2 linked regions of the Caenorhabditis elegans genome follow. The protein of the gene in region 2 purifies or fractionates together with the protein of the main gene of each other region. This does not show direct contact. Each region holds a gene or a part of one and is shown on either strand. Other genes may lie near its edges.

The links. The genes of interacting proteins can lie anywhere in the genome.
Region 1: the proteins of jkk-1 (region 2) and unc-16 purify together in Caenorhabditis elegans (affinity purification with western blotting, with the first as the bait; one study listed by BioGRID). This does not show direct contact.

The regions. Positions count from the first base shown.
Region 1 is NC_003281.10:9,544,241-9,549,560, reverse strand, and holds the start of unc-16 (JNK-interacting protein), read right to left. Parts: upstream 3,267-5,320; 5' UTR 3,203-3,266; coding exon 3,137-3,202; intron 2,891-3,136; coding exon 2,762-2,890; intron 2,182-2,761; coding exon 1,902-2,181; intron 1,811-1,901; coding exon 1,630-1,810; intron 1,565-1,629; coding exon of another isoform or gene 1,508-1,564; intron 996-1,507; coding exon 874-995; intron 771-873; coding exon of another isoform or gene 740-770; intron 390-739; coding exon 221-389; intron 148-220; coding exon 104-147; intron 1-103. Other genes in the region: ZK1098.12 (DUF2975 domain-containing protein), read right to left, coding at 3,693-3,791, 3,840-3,968, 4,017-4,118, 4,162-4,236, 4,287-4,319; ZK1098.9 (uncharacterized protein), read right to left, coding at 4,483-4,604, 4,969-5,110; eif-2Balpha (Translation initiation factor eIF2B subunit alpha), read right to left, coding at 5,280-5,320. UniProt on the Caenorhabditis elegans protein: The JNK-interacting protein (JIP) group of scaffold proteins selectively mediates JNK signaling by aggregating specific components of the MAPK cascade to form a functional JNK signaling module.
Region 2 is NC_003284.9:5,366,527-5,374,798, reverse strand, and holds jkk-1 (Dual specificity mitogen-activated protein kinase kinase jkk-1), read right to left. Parts: upstream 6,332-8,272; 5' UTR 6,135-6,331; coding exon 6,101-6,134; intron 5,484-6,100; coding exon of another isoform or gene 5,464-5,483; intron 5,445-5,463; coding exon 5,337-5,444; intron 5,187-5,336; coding exon 5,106-5,186; intron 5,059-5,105; coding exon 4,948-5,058; intron 4,900-4,947; coding exon 4,787-4,899; intron 4,369-4,786; coding exon 4,252-4,368; intron 4,206-4,251; coding exon 4,050-4,205; intron 3,991-4,049; coding exon 3,826-3,990; intron 3,555-3,825; coding exon 3,393-3,554; intron 3,351-3,392; coding exon 3,258-3,350; intron 3,210-3,257; coding exon 3,150-3,209; intron 3,097-3,149; coding exon 2,989-3,096; 3' UTR 2,631-2,988; coding exon of another isoform or gene 2,517-2,630; 3' UTR 2,472-2,516; coding exon of another isoform or gene 2,373-2,471; 3' UTR 2,211-2,372; coding exon of another isoform or gene 2,174-2,210; 3' UTR 1,768-2,173; coding exon of another isoform or gene 1,738-1,767; intron 1,691-1,737; coding exon of another isoform or gene 1,063-1,690; 3' UTR 983-1,062; coding exon of another isoform or gene 765-982; intron 705-764; and 1 more. Other genes in the region: F35C8.8 (uncharacterized protein), read left to right, coding at 2,174-2,210, 2,373-2,471, 2,517-2,630, 5,464-5,483; F35C8.5 (Cholesterol 25-hydroxylase-like protein), read right to left, coding at 7,226-7,471, 7,514-7,618, 7,665-7,754. UniProt on the Caenorhabditis elegans protein: Dual specificity protein kinase which acts as an essential component of the JNK signal transduction pathway. May phosphorylate jnk-1.

The DNA.
Region 1 (5,320 bases), on a different chromosome or scaffold from region 2:
TAGTGTGAAAAAAAATGAAACGACACACTCTAATTAGTGATGGACAATAGATAAATTAGACGATTTCACTTGATTTTTAATTATTAAATACAAAAAAACCAACCTGTGAGATCAGCACCGAGCAAATCGTTATTTTCCTTGGGATCTCTGAAAAATTGGAATAGATTTCAAAACTCTTATATAAATTCCTAATAAAATTTTAAAATCATAATTAACTTACACAGAAGTTGTCTCGTCAGCTTCTTCCTCTTCTGATTGTTTCGGTGAAGCAGCTTCTCGTTTAGGAGTCGGCTCTTTGGTTGTAATTGGTGAAGTCAACGCATCAGCAGATGATTGTGGAATATCCCTGGGTGATGGTTCGATATCTGATGAGAATTCGTCTTGCCAGTCTGGAAAATTAGTATTTTAAGATTTAAAAGAATGAGGGTTGCAATTTCCATTGAGAAAAGGTGCGGAGCGGGTTTTTTTTCACTTTTCAACAGGAAACATCGTACGGAATACAATTAAAAATGGTTTTTTAATGGGAAATTTAAAATTTCTTTCCAACTGAACTGGTTTATTTAAGCCAAAAAGGTCTAAAAATTGAGCAATAAACCAATGCAGTTGGAAAATAAGTGAATTTACAGAAAAAAATCCGTTGGAAATTTCCTGTTAAAAAAAGTTTTAAAAAAACGCGCGGCGGTTGCGAAAACCCGTGCCGCACCTTTGCAGCATGGAAATCGGAAGAAAACTGGCATACCAATAAAGGTTAGTTGAGGATTCGAGTTCATGTTAGTTAAAAATTATCGGAAATAAATAAATAAACTAAATTTTGCGATATATAGAATTTTTTGTATTTTTACATATTTGTGAAGGGTCGCGTAAAAAACTCACCTTCGTTTGTGATGTGATTTGCAAGATTAACATCCATCGTGGTTGATTGTGTCATATGAGCAGAAATAAGATCAGATACTCCACGAATTGATGATGCATCCACAGAAGCAGCCATGCCCATTCTGTAATTTAAATAATATCTTTTAAAAATTAAAATTTTGATTTTAGGGGACCGAACCAAGTTATTAAAGGTGGAAGAAGTGTTTGCCTAACAAAATTCTTTTTGGAAAATGATAAAATTGGGAATTTTGCTTTAAATTGTATATCGTAATGAGCGAATTTATACAATTTTTTTAAACAATAAATATAATTGAAGCATTTTCAAAGATCTATATCGTTTGCGGGAATTTAACAACAAATATCGCATTTTTTGCAAAATTGGAGAAAACATAAAAATTTAGAAAATTTTTTTAAACAGTAATTATGATCTCTTTTCTGACATTTAGAGCAGTGATAAAAAATTTGGAAAATCAAGAAAATAAAATAAATTCAAAAAAATTGGTGATTTTTATTTCTTCATGCGCTTCAAAATTTGGAGTGAAGTGGAGGATAACCAAATCGAAAAAAAATCAAAAATTTGAAAAATAAAAAAACCTTCCCGAAAAATAACAAAAATTCCAGACACAAAACTCACAATGACAAATTACTTTGATCACCACTCTTATGTAAGCGATGTGATATTGGAAACCAACTACAAACAACGACACAACAGTCAAATATTAATCACTTTTTTAAATTTAATTAAATTAAACTTACTTGTTTCGAAGTTGCATATTTGGCAATGGCATATTCTGCATTAATTCGAATTTTTCACTTCCCATTAGATATTTTGTACGTTCCATGTGATCTACATGGGTTCGTAATAGAGTATTATATCGTTCGTGGAGACGATCGAATTCGAGCTTTTGTTCCACTTCACGTTCTTCCAGACGACTGGCTGAAAAATAATACTTTTTTTAAAAATTTATCCAAGAAAAACACAAGAGTTAATAATTGAGGTGACAATTAACTAACTGTAACAAACTAACCGTGATCAGTGGCATTTTTGGCTTTCAACTCGAGCATCCTCATTATTGATTCAAGTGACTCTATCTTTTTGTCCAACTCTTTATTCTGACCAATCAACGTGTCTTCTATTTCAATATATTTCTGTTCTGTCTGCTTTCGAAGTGCTTTTTCACGTTCATATTGTGTCTGAAGCTGTTCATTGTCCTCTTTGAGCATTTCAAGTTCTGCAGTCTGCTCGTCACGTTCCAAATAGGCAAGATCCAATGCTTCGAGCACATTTACAACCAATGGCATCAGAGTCTGAAAATGTTTAGTTTATTGAATGATAATAGAGAAAGAGAGAAGAAAATTAGCATAAATTTACCTGCTGACTGGTTTAACATACTGAATTTAGTATTGAAGTAGAGTAAAAACATAGAATTTCAATTTCTGATCAAAAAATGGTCTAAAAAGTCCGAATTTCGTAAAAATATCATTTAAAAGTTCTTCAATTAATTATGACGATTCTATGTTTTGAAAAATATTTAACTATGAGCTAAAATCTACAATTTTGCATATTTTTCCGTGCCACAGCGGTCGGAAATTTATTTTCATTCGATTTTCGCTTATTTTGTCGTTTATCTCGTGTTACTTCGTTGAGTTTGGTACATTTGAAGCGATAGGCAACTAAAAATAAGCAAGATCGAAATGATGCTCAATAAAAATTCATTTCCGGCCGTTGCGACACGGAAAAGTTGGCAAAATTGAAGATTTCAGAAGAAAGAAAGCGTTTTTTTTTTCAAAACCATCAGTCTTATTATGAAATCCGGTTGTTTTGGGACATTTTTTGCGAAAACAGCCATTTAAATAAATTTTAAAGTAAAATTCCGAAAAAACTCACTTTCACGCCATCTTCTCCGTGAACTTTTATCATTGTTTCCAACTCTCGATAAATTGCCGAAGCCATTGTCTGCACTTTATCCGACATTGTTCGATGCTCATCTGGTGAGCCGGGGCCGCCGTACACAATCTGAGATAACATTTCTCCCATCAATATCGAATGCAGCATAAAAAAATCCTCCTATTACCCGTCCCAACTGTTTTGTTGTGTCTAGCGACAATCAATAATGAAGAGAGAAGTGCGGAAGAGAAACATAACGGTATTTACTGGCCGAGGAATAGTAGTAGGGGGCGACGATAAGAGAACCGAGATAACTATCGGGAGACGCTGCTGCTGCCACTCGGTTGCAACAATGGTTCATTTGCCACCACTTACCTCAGACGGTGTGCTGCTCGTAATTGAGTCTGCCATCTCATTCACCGGTGACAAATTGCAAGCCATTTTTTCAGTCGTTCTGTCGATTATTGGTCCATGTGAGAGCAAGTTGACGAGACAATTCTACAAATTATGTTGCTTTTGTGCTTTGCAATGAAAAAAGCTATGTAAATAAAGTGCCACTCCTTCGCCGCGGCGACAGAAAATCAATAAAAGAAGGCTGGGCGCATGTGTGAATCTCGTGGATGAGAGAATACGGTAATTGGCGGAAGAGGAGCGTTTTGTGCGTCACGCACTACACGCATGTCGAGTGGGTTTTGCCGTTTTGCGCTTCAGAATTTATTTTTCTATTGAATTCAGAATAAAAACACTTCATTAGAAGTTTTGCATGAATAGAATTTCAATTTGCGCCGCTATTACGAATTTTTATATAAACTCTATCAAAATTATGTGTTTCTTAGGCTATTTTTGCGTCAAAACCACGAATTTAGTGTGACAACATGTGTTAAAACAATGAAAAAACAAATACGAAAGAATCAGTTTATTACGAAATAAATCAACGTTCATCATTATCTTCCTCAGGATATTCCGGGTGGCTCAGGAACGCTAGAAGCACTTGCACCAGAGAAATCATCAGAACAATTCCCACTCCGACCTGAATTGTTGGATTAAAGAGAAAATCATGTCGATTAATATAATTTACATCCAGAAGCACAATGCAGTTTTTAATTGCTGTATGCTCGTGGGGAGCTTTGGCACTGAATGTGTACACGATGAAGAAGATGAGCGAAAGCAACGATGTGACTGGTGCTGGAGCATGATAGATGGCCAACTGAAATTTTTGTAGAATGTAAAATAACTTTCTAAAACTAGGAATTACTTTTCTTTGGCTCATTGCCAACATGCATTTAGATCGACTCAAAAACAACAGAGCGATGAATGTGATGACTGCGAGTACGAGGAAAACGCTACCTGCTGAGAGCTGAAAACGTAGAGTTAGGAACGTCTTTAAGATGAGAATTTACCATCCAAAATGACGCGAGTCCAGATACGTACCCCATTGGAATAGTTCCCTGGAGTAGAACAGTCACACTAATCATCTGAAAACCAAGAAGATTCCCAAATAATCTGCTGAAAACTAGAAACTCACAATATTTGCCACAATGAGTTTGTTCAAAAGCATATTTCTACTTTACAAAGATTTGTAACCGTATAACCCTTTTGCTAGATTTGAATTTAACGAAATGAGTAGGAAATCAAGTTAAAAGTGTTGTCTATTTTATAAATTAAAAGAACGTAGAAAAGGTCTTCACGAAGAAATTTAAAATTTATTCAAAAAAAAAAAATCAGACTTCTTTCTTGGCTTTTTTCTTCGGTTTCGACGAGGATGTTTCAGTTGATCCTCCACATTCTTCTTTGATCGTTTGCATTCCTTCGATACCGTTCAGTTTTTTCATGTCTTCTTTGCCTGAAAATGTGCAAATTTTTATTCTTCAGCATTACTATATTATCCAGATAATTTTGCGATTTTCGTCATGCTAATACGATACCCGGTCTCGATACGGCAAAGTTTTTGATAGATCCAAAGAGGTGTGCGCCTTTAAAGAGTACTGTAATTTCAGATTTTCGTTGTTATGGAATTTGCATCGATTTTTCATAGTTTCAGATAAATAAATAAATATTTAAATATCGAAAAACTAATAAAAGTCTAAAAATTCGAAGTACAGTACACTTTAAAGGCACACACCTTTCAGAATTTAACAATTGTAGCGTCGAGACCGGGAACCGTACTTTCTGGGTAAAAATTGCACAATTTCGCAACAAAAACTAACCTGCAGGTTTACAAACCGCACTTTTTGAATGAAGAACTGTCAGAATCACGAACACGATTGTAGTGATGATTCCGATACCTCCGAAGACAGCCGAAACTATCATTAGCATGCTAGATGGCAAAATAAAGTGCTTTTCACTCATCTTTTTGATGAATGAGCGTTTTTAAAAACTCGAAATGAATAGTTTTGGGTTCCACGTTATTTTTTATTTTTGTAAAAGAAAAAAACCAATCATAATTATAAAAAACAAAACAAGAACAAATTAATTTAATTTGATTGAATTAAATACACGTTCAAATAAATTTCTACCCTCAGATATACATTTTAATGAGTTCTTCTCCAACAGCTTCAG
Region 2 (8,272 bases):
TATGTGCCACGGGTATGCGTTTGAATTTTTTTGGGCATCGCGATGACCTCCGTTTTTTTTTAAGTGTCCCATGGATTATTGCTTGTACCTCGCCGCTAGATAGATGAATACTTGTGCTCTTTCTTTAATCTCTCTAAAAAGGGATTACCGTTTCTCGATACAAGCTCATTGATTGAGTATAGTTCGAAAATTGCTAATTGTCGTCATTTTGAGGTGGTTTATAATAAATAAAAATTTGAATATCATCGCTACAGTAATAACGATTTTTTCTCGTTCTGTCTCACTTCCAGGAGAGCTGACATCGGAGAGATTGTATCAGTTCCGGAGCTGACAAGAAGCCGTTTCCAGAGCAGGAATGGAAATGAATGCCAAAGGTGATTCCTTCAAACCTCATTTGCCAGACTACAAGGTATTTTCATAAGCTGCACTCTAAGATGCTCTGAAGCTCTTCCAGAAAACGCGTACTGAACTCATCTCTGCCAAAATGGAAAATCAGAAGTTAACATTTCAAAAGGAAATGTAGTTCAGTTTTTATGTGAAATCAGTTCCGCAATAATTCAATTTTTAAAAATTCAATTTTCAATTTATCTGAAGCTTTATTTTAAATAAAATTTGAACAAGTTAAAACAATGACTAGAAATATATAAATTATAAAACTATGGCATGTGCTGATTTTGGAAGTGGAGTGGTGAGCCAGAAAAGTTCTGAAAAAAATTGGCATTTTTCAAAGTTTTCTAGATTTTAATTTATCATCACGTTCTCACCACGTTTTATTCACAACTTTTACTGCAAGTTGAGCGATTTCAAGTCTCGAGCAAGACGTAGACGCAAATGTTGGAAGTTCGGAAGGATTCTCTGGGTGCGGAAAGTTGTTTGAAAAATGCTCGACGATTTTGTTGACTAGCTCAGCGTCGGCGGGCTCCGCAGTTTTGCAACATCAGCTTGAAGAAAATGGTGTAGATTTCGAGCATTTGATCCAGATCTGAAAAACAAGAAATTGGAGGATTCGGGCGATTGAAAATAAAAAATCAGAAATTTGACTAAGACTATGTTTCCACTGACGATGGCATGCAATCTTCAAGCAGGTCCCTCTTCCCAATCAACGTTGTAATTTTCTCCAAGTTTTTGATGCAGTCAATTTTCAGCTGTTGCCTTGCAATTCTCTCCCCTATGCAAATCCACGATGACCAGGTTCTTTCCTGGGTAGGTAGAAGGTCTTTGTGCTTCTCCTGGGCTATGACAAAATCGTGCTGGTGCTGCCAAGATATGTAGTTCATGGCTTCTTGATACTTGTCCATGAAGTTTACGTGGATCTCAAATTAAGATCTCACATCCACCTCTATGTCTGGAGATTTTTTGCAGGATTGTCTCCATAACTGTCACCGATTTCTTTACAAACTGATCCACATTTTCAGGCATAACTTCTTGAACCAATTGCTCCAAATTGTCCTTGATCGCACTTGTTTCGACAAGAAATCCTTCGAACGCTGCCTTTTCGTCGCGATTCCGTTGTTCGTAATTTGCATTATATTGATGTTTCTTTCTCCATTTTTCTTCAGCAGAAATTGGGATTCTGTTGTTCTTACGACTGCATCTTCAATGCAAAAAGTTTTTGCGGTCGAAAATGGTGATATCAAAGTTTTGAGTGGATTCCTTCAAGTTCGAGTGGCTTCCTTCAAAGGGTAAATGTCTGGAAAGTTTTAAAGTTGGAAATTGTGATAAGTAGGTGCTGGTTACCATAATACTGTAGTTTGGAGCAGCAGGCATTGTGCTCTTGATAGCAAGTTATAATTACTGTAAGAAAAATAAGTGAGAAAACTTTCTAGATTGAAAATTTTCAAGATTTGATCAAAATAGAAGTAAGAAAAAATTTAAAAAACTAGCAAGAAAAACTATTCAGAAATGTTGTTGCAAATCCGCCCCACGGACAACCGGAAGGCGTACAGTTAGCGTCTTTTTTTGGCGGTGGCGGCAAAATAGAAGGTGTTATTGTGTTTATGTATTTCTCGTCTAGCACCCTCTTACTTTTACACACTCTCTCACTCTCTTTCTCTTGGTGCCACTTTATCATATCCGGCTCTTGTGGCAAACTTACTTTTGATTTTTTTTTTCTTTTAAAATCCAATTATACCGTAGTTTACCGTACTCTCGATTTTCAGAAACTTCGCACAGTATGGCTTCATCACCAAGTTCTTCCTCCAGCCAACTCCGTAAGTTATCTCATAACAATTATTTTGAAAAGCTCTAAATTTCCAATTTTCAGATTAGGTGAGCAAAGTATCGAAGGCAGATTAGCGATGCAAAAAGTGTACCACACTCGAAAGTCACTTACAAATCGATAAAATTTAAGCAAAAATATATCAAAATTTTAGAGAAATTGCACCACGAACGTCGTCGGAAAGCGGAAAGTGAGGAGCAGCAGAAACAGAACAGAAACAAGAACAGAAAATTAAAAAAAAAACGGATTATCAGTAAGTTGTCCTAAATGAAATTTTAATTTAAACTTCAAATTTCAGAAATATCCCGGAGCCCAGTTGCAAGCCCAGTTGACAAGCTTGCAGCCTCCTCAAAAATTGAACCAGATTCTAGGAGCTTCCCCGATGATCGAAGGATTTTGTGGACAAGAATCGGTAGGTTATTGCTTTCTTAGAAAACTTTAAATGGTCCTTATTTTGCAAAATGATATGCGTTAAACTACCAATGCTTCGCAAAATAGAACAGCCATTAAAACAATTTACATTTTTTTGAGAACTTTTATTACGATATTCGTCCATTTGGACAGATTTTTAGTTTGTTCGTTTAAAAAACCCAGTATTTCTTTTTAAATCATACCTAGAATTTCTTCAAAAAGTGAACTGGAAGCAACCGAGAAACAAATATTATGCAGAGAAGAGCACCAGTGATGATATCAGACTCGTTTCAATTTTAAAAGAATGAGAATTTCTGAGAGAACACGAAAGTGATAATTTGCTTAAAAGTCTTCAATAATTAGTTGACACAAGGCGTGTTTGGGATCGACTTCAATTCATCTTCGGTTTTTGAAAGTCGAATCACGTCGACGAACCAATCCGCAACTTGATTGCATTTTCCATTGATCTGAAATTACAGTCAGTTTTTGTACTGAAAAATTTGCAAAAAAAAACACTTACAGCTTTGAACTTGTAAGCACTTCCACTGGCAGGGTCGTAATCAAGGTAGAAATCATGCTTCTGTAGAAAAACCTTTGTTTTAAAAATTTCTCCAACCTATTATTTTACCATTAATTGCCTATATTCAGGTCTTTCTCGAACATCCTTTCGCAAGCATAGGTCCAAGAATTCAATGAATAGAGGTGAAAAACTTCGCTTTGTCTGAAACATAGCGTATTGAAAACGTAACGGAAATTCCGAAACCTCTTCTCTCAGACTTGGTGATGGCAAATTCAGGTTTGCAATAATGGTGAGAGTTGTGAATTCCATGTCATTTAGTGGAAATGGGTAGAGTCCAGTGACAAGTTGGTAAACAGTGATTCCCAATGACCAGACATCGCTTCGAACGTCGTATTTGGAATTCGTCTGCAATTTTTTCAAACTTCATTATTTACTTTTAGACCTATTAACAGGAGTGCCCCGCGGCTCACTGTTGCGATCGGGACGTGACCCACATTTCGGGTCAAGATTATGTTTCAAAAAAAAAAGTTCAAAATTTTTTTTTTGACATGTCAAGCATGATCAAGCCGAAACTAGTAGCAGGGAACCGGGGCAAGTTGCGGGAAAAATCGGGCGCGTGGAGGGCGTCACCGCCACCGGCACATTTTTGTTCACAGATCAACATTCAATTTCATACCTCGATAGTTAATCTTTCAGGAGCCATATATGGCGGACATCCTGCACTTTTGGAATGAGCCATCGAATCAGTCATAAATCCACTTATCCCAAAATCACACAGCTTTACATTGCCGCTGTCATCAAAAAGGATATTCGAGGGTTTTATATCGCGATGTATAATCGACTGAAAATCCGGAATTAGTTGTTTAGTTTGTGCACAGCAGTTTCTCTTTAATCTCTTACATGTTTTTCCTTGAGATAATCCAGTGCACTAATCGCCGAGTAGACGATGTGACCGGCCACAAACTCGGGGAAAAAATCCAATTTTGAATGATAAATGCGACGCAGCAGCTTCTCACAACACGCTGACATGATTTGCATACAAATTTTTACAGACGACTGGAAATGGAGGAATTGGATATGTTAATAAGAATGTCACACTTACATCAAACATGAAATATCCGTAACTGGTGACAATGAACGGAGAATTGCACATTGACATAATTCGGACGTCACGAAGAATTCGTTTCAAATTTTCCTTATTGTCATTTTTGTACATAGTCTGAAGAAGACAAAGCTGAGGGAACCGTTATGATTCTGTGTCAACGTATTCTCTAGAGTCGCATTTATCAAACTACTGTTCTCACATTGAAAGAGGTTCAGAATTTTTACTGAAATTTGTTTTCCACCAATTTTAGAGGTCTCTCCTCCTCTCTAACGCATTTGCTTTGCATTGACAATTGAATCAAGAAAAACGAAAACAATGGAATTTCTAATGGTCTTTAGCACCACTACAATTTTTCGCCCCCGCATGATAACCCGTGAAGGACCCCTTCTCTTTTGAATTGCGTATGCAACGATTCTGTCAATCTTTTTTCAAGAGTTCATACTGGAGCCATGCAAGATTTATTCTATTCAAAGTGGTCCGGATGTGTATCTCAACCATACATCACTGCCTCCGTGTGAGGGGTAATGCTCACCTTCACAGCCATCAATTTTGAGCGAACCGTCGCAGATTCGACTACACCACAAGAGCCGCTTCCGAGCAGGCTGATGATGTGAATCTCGTTTGGGTCGACAACTTGCTTTTCTCCTGATAGGAAAAAGATTTTAAAAATTAAAGCTTTGATGTATGTCTTACCATCAATTTCTAATGTTCCCGATTTCTTGTACCCTTCTAGAAACTCGTATTCCAACGCATCTTTCTCAGTATCTCTTCTGGATGGCGATGGTTTCATGGAAAGCGGAGTAACTGAAATTGTATGTATGTAATAACTAAAGGTCGTTCTCCAGGCACACATTTTCTTTCCATGGGGCTTGTTAAATACCCAATGTTATTCGGCCGTTGGTGTTGAGGACTTGAAGATGTGGAAGAGCATTCTGTAAAACAAAATTTGAGGGAATTAAGAATGACAACACATACGTGTTTTTTGGAATTGAGCCGATGATCTCATCACAAAGAATAATTAGATGGAATTTTAAGAATAATGATGCCATTTGAAGGCTAGACACCAATATTTCAAGACAAACCTTTATGTTTTTGATCTACCGAAGTTGATCGGCGATCTCTCGGCCGTAGCCGAACCTCAGTCAATCCCAACTTCAAGAATTTCCATTTTCTCACCCTCGTCTCCAGATCTAAAATCAATTATTACAGACTCAACACGGAGGAAATGAGATTGTGTGTTTGGCGCTGATTGACACTTTGGTTATTTTTAGTAGTTTTTGTGGTACCTATTGCCCGAGAAGCCAAGTACTTTTCTTATCAAGAGGTATAAGTTCGTTGGCTACCTTGTTTCACTAAAATTTAGGTTACAGGTTGAAAATTAATTGCATCAGCATCATCTGGGTATCAGTCAATGAGCGGTTACCGAATTTGCCAATCGCTGAAATTTTCAGCAACCGGCAACCGTCGGCTGCCGAGGCCTTGGCGTTGTTCAAACATATATTTCTGTTAAACTCATATTTCAGAGTGTTTTTCGAGGAAAAAATATAATTGTTTTATTTACAGTGACGATATTCGCAATATTTAGGGTCTTTGAATGCGTATTTACAAAACAATTGAAATTAATATCGAAAGTTGCCGAAGTTGGCGAACGATAAAACTTTCGGCAGCCGACAACCGATGATTTCCGAACCTAAGGCTACTTTCTGGCAATCAGCAACTTGGTTGACCTGTTTTGCAGTTCATTAAATTTTCATCAAAGATTCTAAACGGAATATACATAATCTACGAATATTTTGCTACGTACTCAGCCGACAATAAACAAATATATGAAAAATTATATGTTTACCTCGTAATCTTTGCTGAAAACAGACATTCTCCATTTAAAACCAAGGTAGAGTTGACAACAAAATAAAAGAATGAAAGAATGACCCGTTGGCCGTCGTCGCTCGTTCCGAAATTTTAATAAGAAGACGTATGTGAGGTTCCTCGCGGCAGCGACAGCAGCAGCAGCACCACTAGCCCAATGTAGTAGACGAAATGGCAAGACACACACAGCTATCGATTCTGAATGCACAATGCTAGTCGAAGAAGCGCAGGGGCTCCCGGTCTGGCCCCTCTTCGCTCTCATCACCCACATCGTGGAGGAGGAGCCGTGAAGAAGGAGAAGGGGGAAGGCTATAAATGCACACACATACTAGTGAAAATATGCGGGAAGAACTGCTCCTTTCTTCGGCTCTTTCTCTCTTCTCGCGCATGTCTCATTTCCAATTGGTCCCCCCATCATCCTCTATTTCGACGCGTTTGGGATGCGTGAATCTTTGCAGCTTCAATGGGTGGTCCTATAAGAGAGAAAGGCTAAACGCTAATGGGCGATTTGAATGGGGGCAAGTTTGGAGGAGGTCTTTTTGTTGCTCATCTTCTTTGTGCCGGCAAATAGAAGTTACACGATGACACACAGACATGCGCCTCTGCACAAATCTCATCAGCGAGAAAATTGGGTGAAGCATGTTCTGTTGAAGACGATTCGAGGTTCCAAATAGAAACGATTCACCTGGTTAAAAATAATACTCCGAACAAATGTTTGAGTCACAGTTGCTTGTTTTAAAACTTGTAGACATTTTTGGCCACGTTTCAGAATTACGATTGTTTGACTATGAAAACAAAATTCAATTAAAAAAAATAGATTTACCACAATTTGGACAGGTTAACCCTTTTGGTGGGGGATATTTCAGATTTAAAATTATTTACATTTCAAGCAACCTTTTGAACTTTTGGTCAAGTCTCGTGTTCTTAGTTCCTTTTGCAAGATCTCACGTTTCAATACCACATTTCTTCTGATTCAGTTACTTTCACATTTTCCGGTCTGTCTGGGAGCAAACACAAAGTTCCGAAAAAGTCTTGCTCACTCATGCACATTTCAACAGCAAAAAAAGTTCGTTTATTGCGTTACGGGGTAATACATGTACGTGGCTTAGTTAATTTTGATTAATCCTTTCTCGTCTTCAGCTGAATAGAGCCCGAACTTTTTGAATTTTGCCTCGGTCATCTTTTTCAAATCGGCGTAGGTAATATGGTAACCCATGAGTCTGTCGAGATAGTTGAACCACGGTTGGAAACATGTCAGTGGTCTCAGATGGTGCATGTCATGAGCCGGAGCACCCGAGTAGAACCAGAAAATGCGATGAAGAGCAAATGGGAAGTCGTATCCAATGTGAACCTGAATTCAACTTTGTCAACTTTAAAGGTCAAATTTTAATACCTCATAAGAGACGCTCTGGGCGATAAAGAACCAAATCCAGTAGGTCAAGCAGTGAGTTGGGAAGATCCATGGGATAGTGGTGATGAATGTTCCAACAAAGAACAGCTGAAAAAACTTACTATTTTAGTTATAAATCTCAATTTTCAAAAACCTCAAATGGGTGAAGATGTTGTGCAGATGCTGCGAATGGGGATGAGTACATATGATGAACAGAGTGACACCAGCGGTAGAGCCATTTTACCTGCAAAATGTTGAGTGATATTACCATGATTTGTGTATAGGACAATTATGACTATCAGTGATTCATTCCACTGATAATATAATTTTTGAATCGCTGAAAAATATGTAATAGCTTTATGAAATTCAAACTGAAACGTGCTTAACGTTGGTAAAAAATTATTTCGAATCTTAATTTCAAGTGAGAGAAAAGCTGCTAATGAAGAAATCAACATTGATGTAAATTATGACGTCATAGCATAAACTAAAATGCATTATGTGACGTCAAAATATACATTTTAATAAACCTCTTTGCATACATGGATAACCAAATAATAGGAATCGTAAAAATAAACACTGAAACGTTTGCAACAATCAAAAAGTTCCTATCAGGACGTTTCGACAAAATGACAGGTTCCGCAATATGAATTAGTACTCGGAATGTGCAACGTTTTGGAAACTTTTGCCTAAACGAATGTAAACCTGGTGGAAAATTGGCGAGCTTTGCACAACAAAAAATTATTTGTAGCTGGTGAGTTCCCG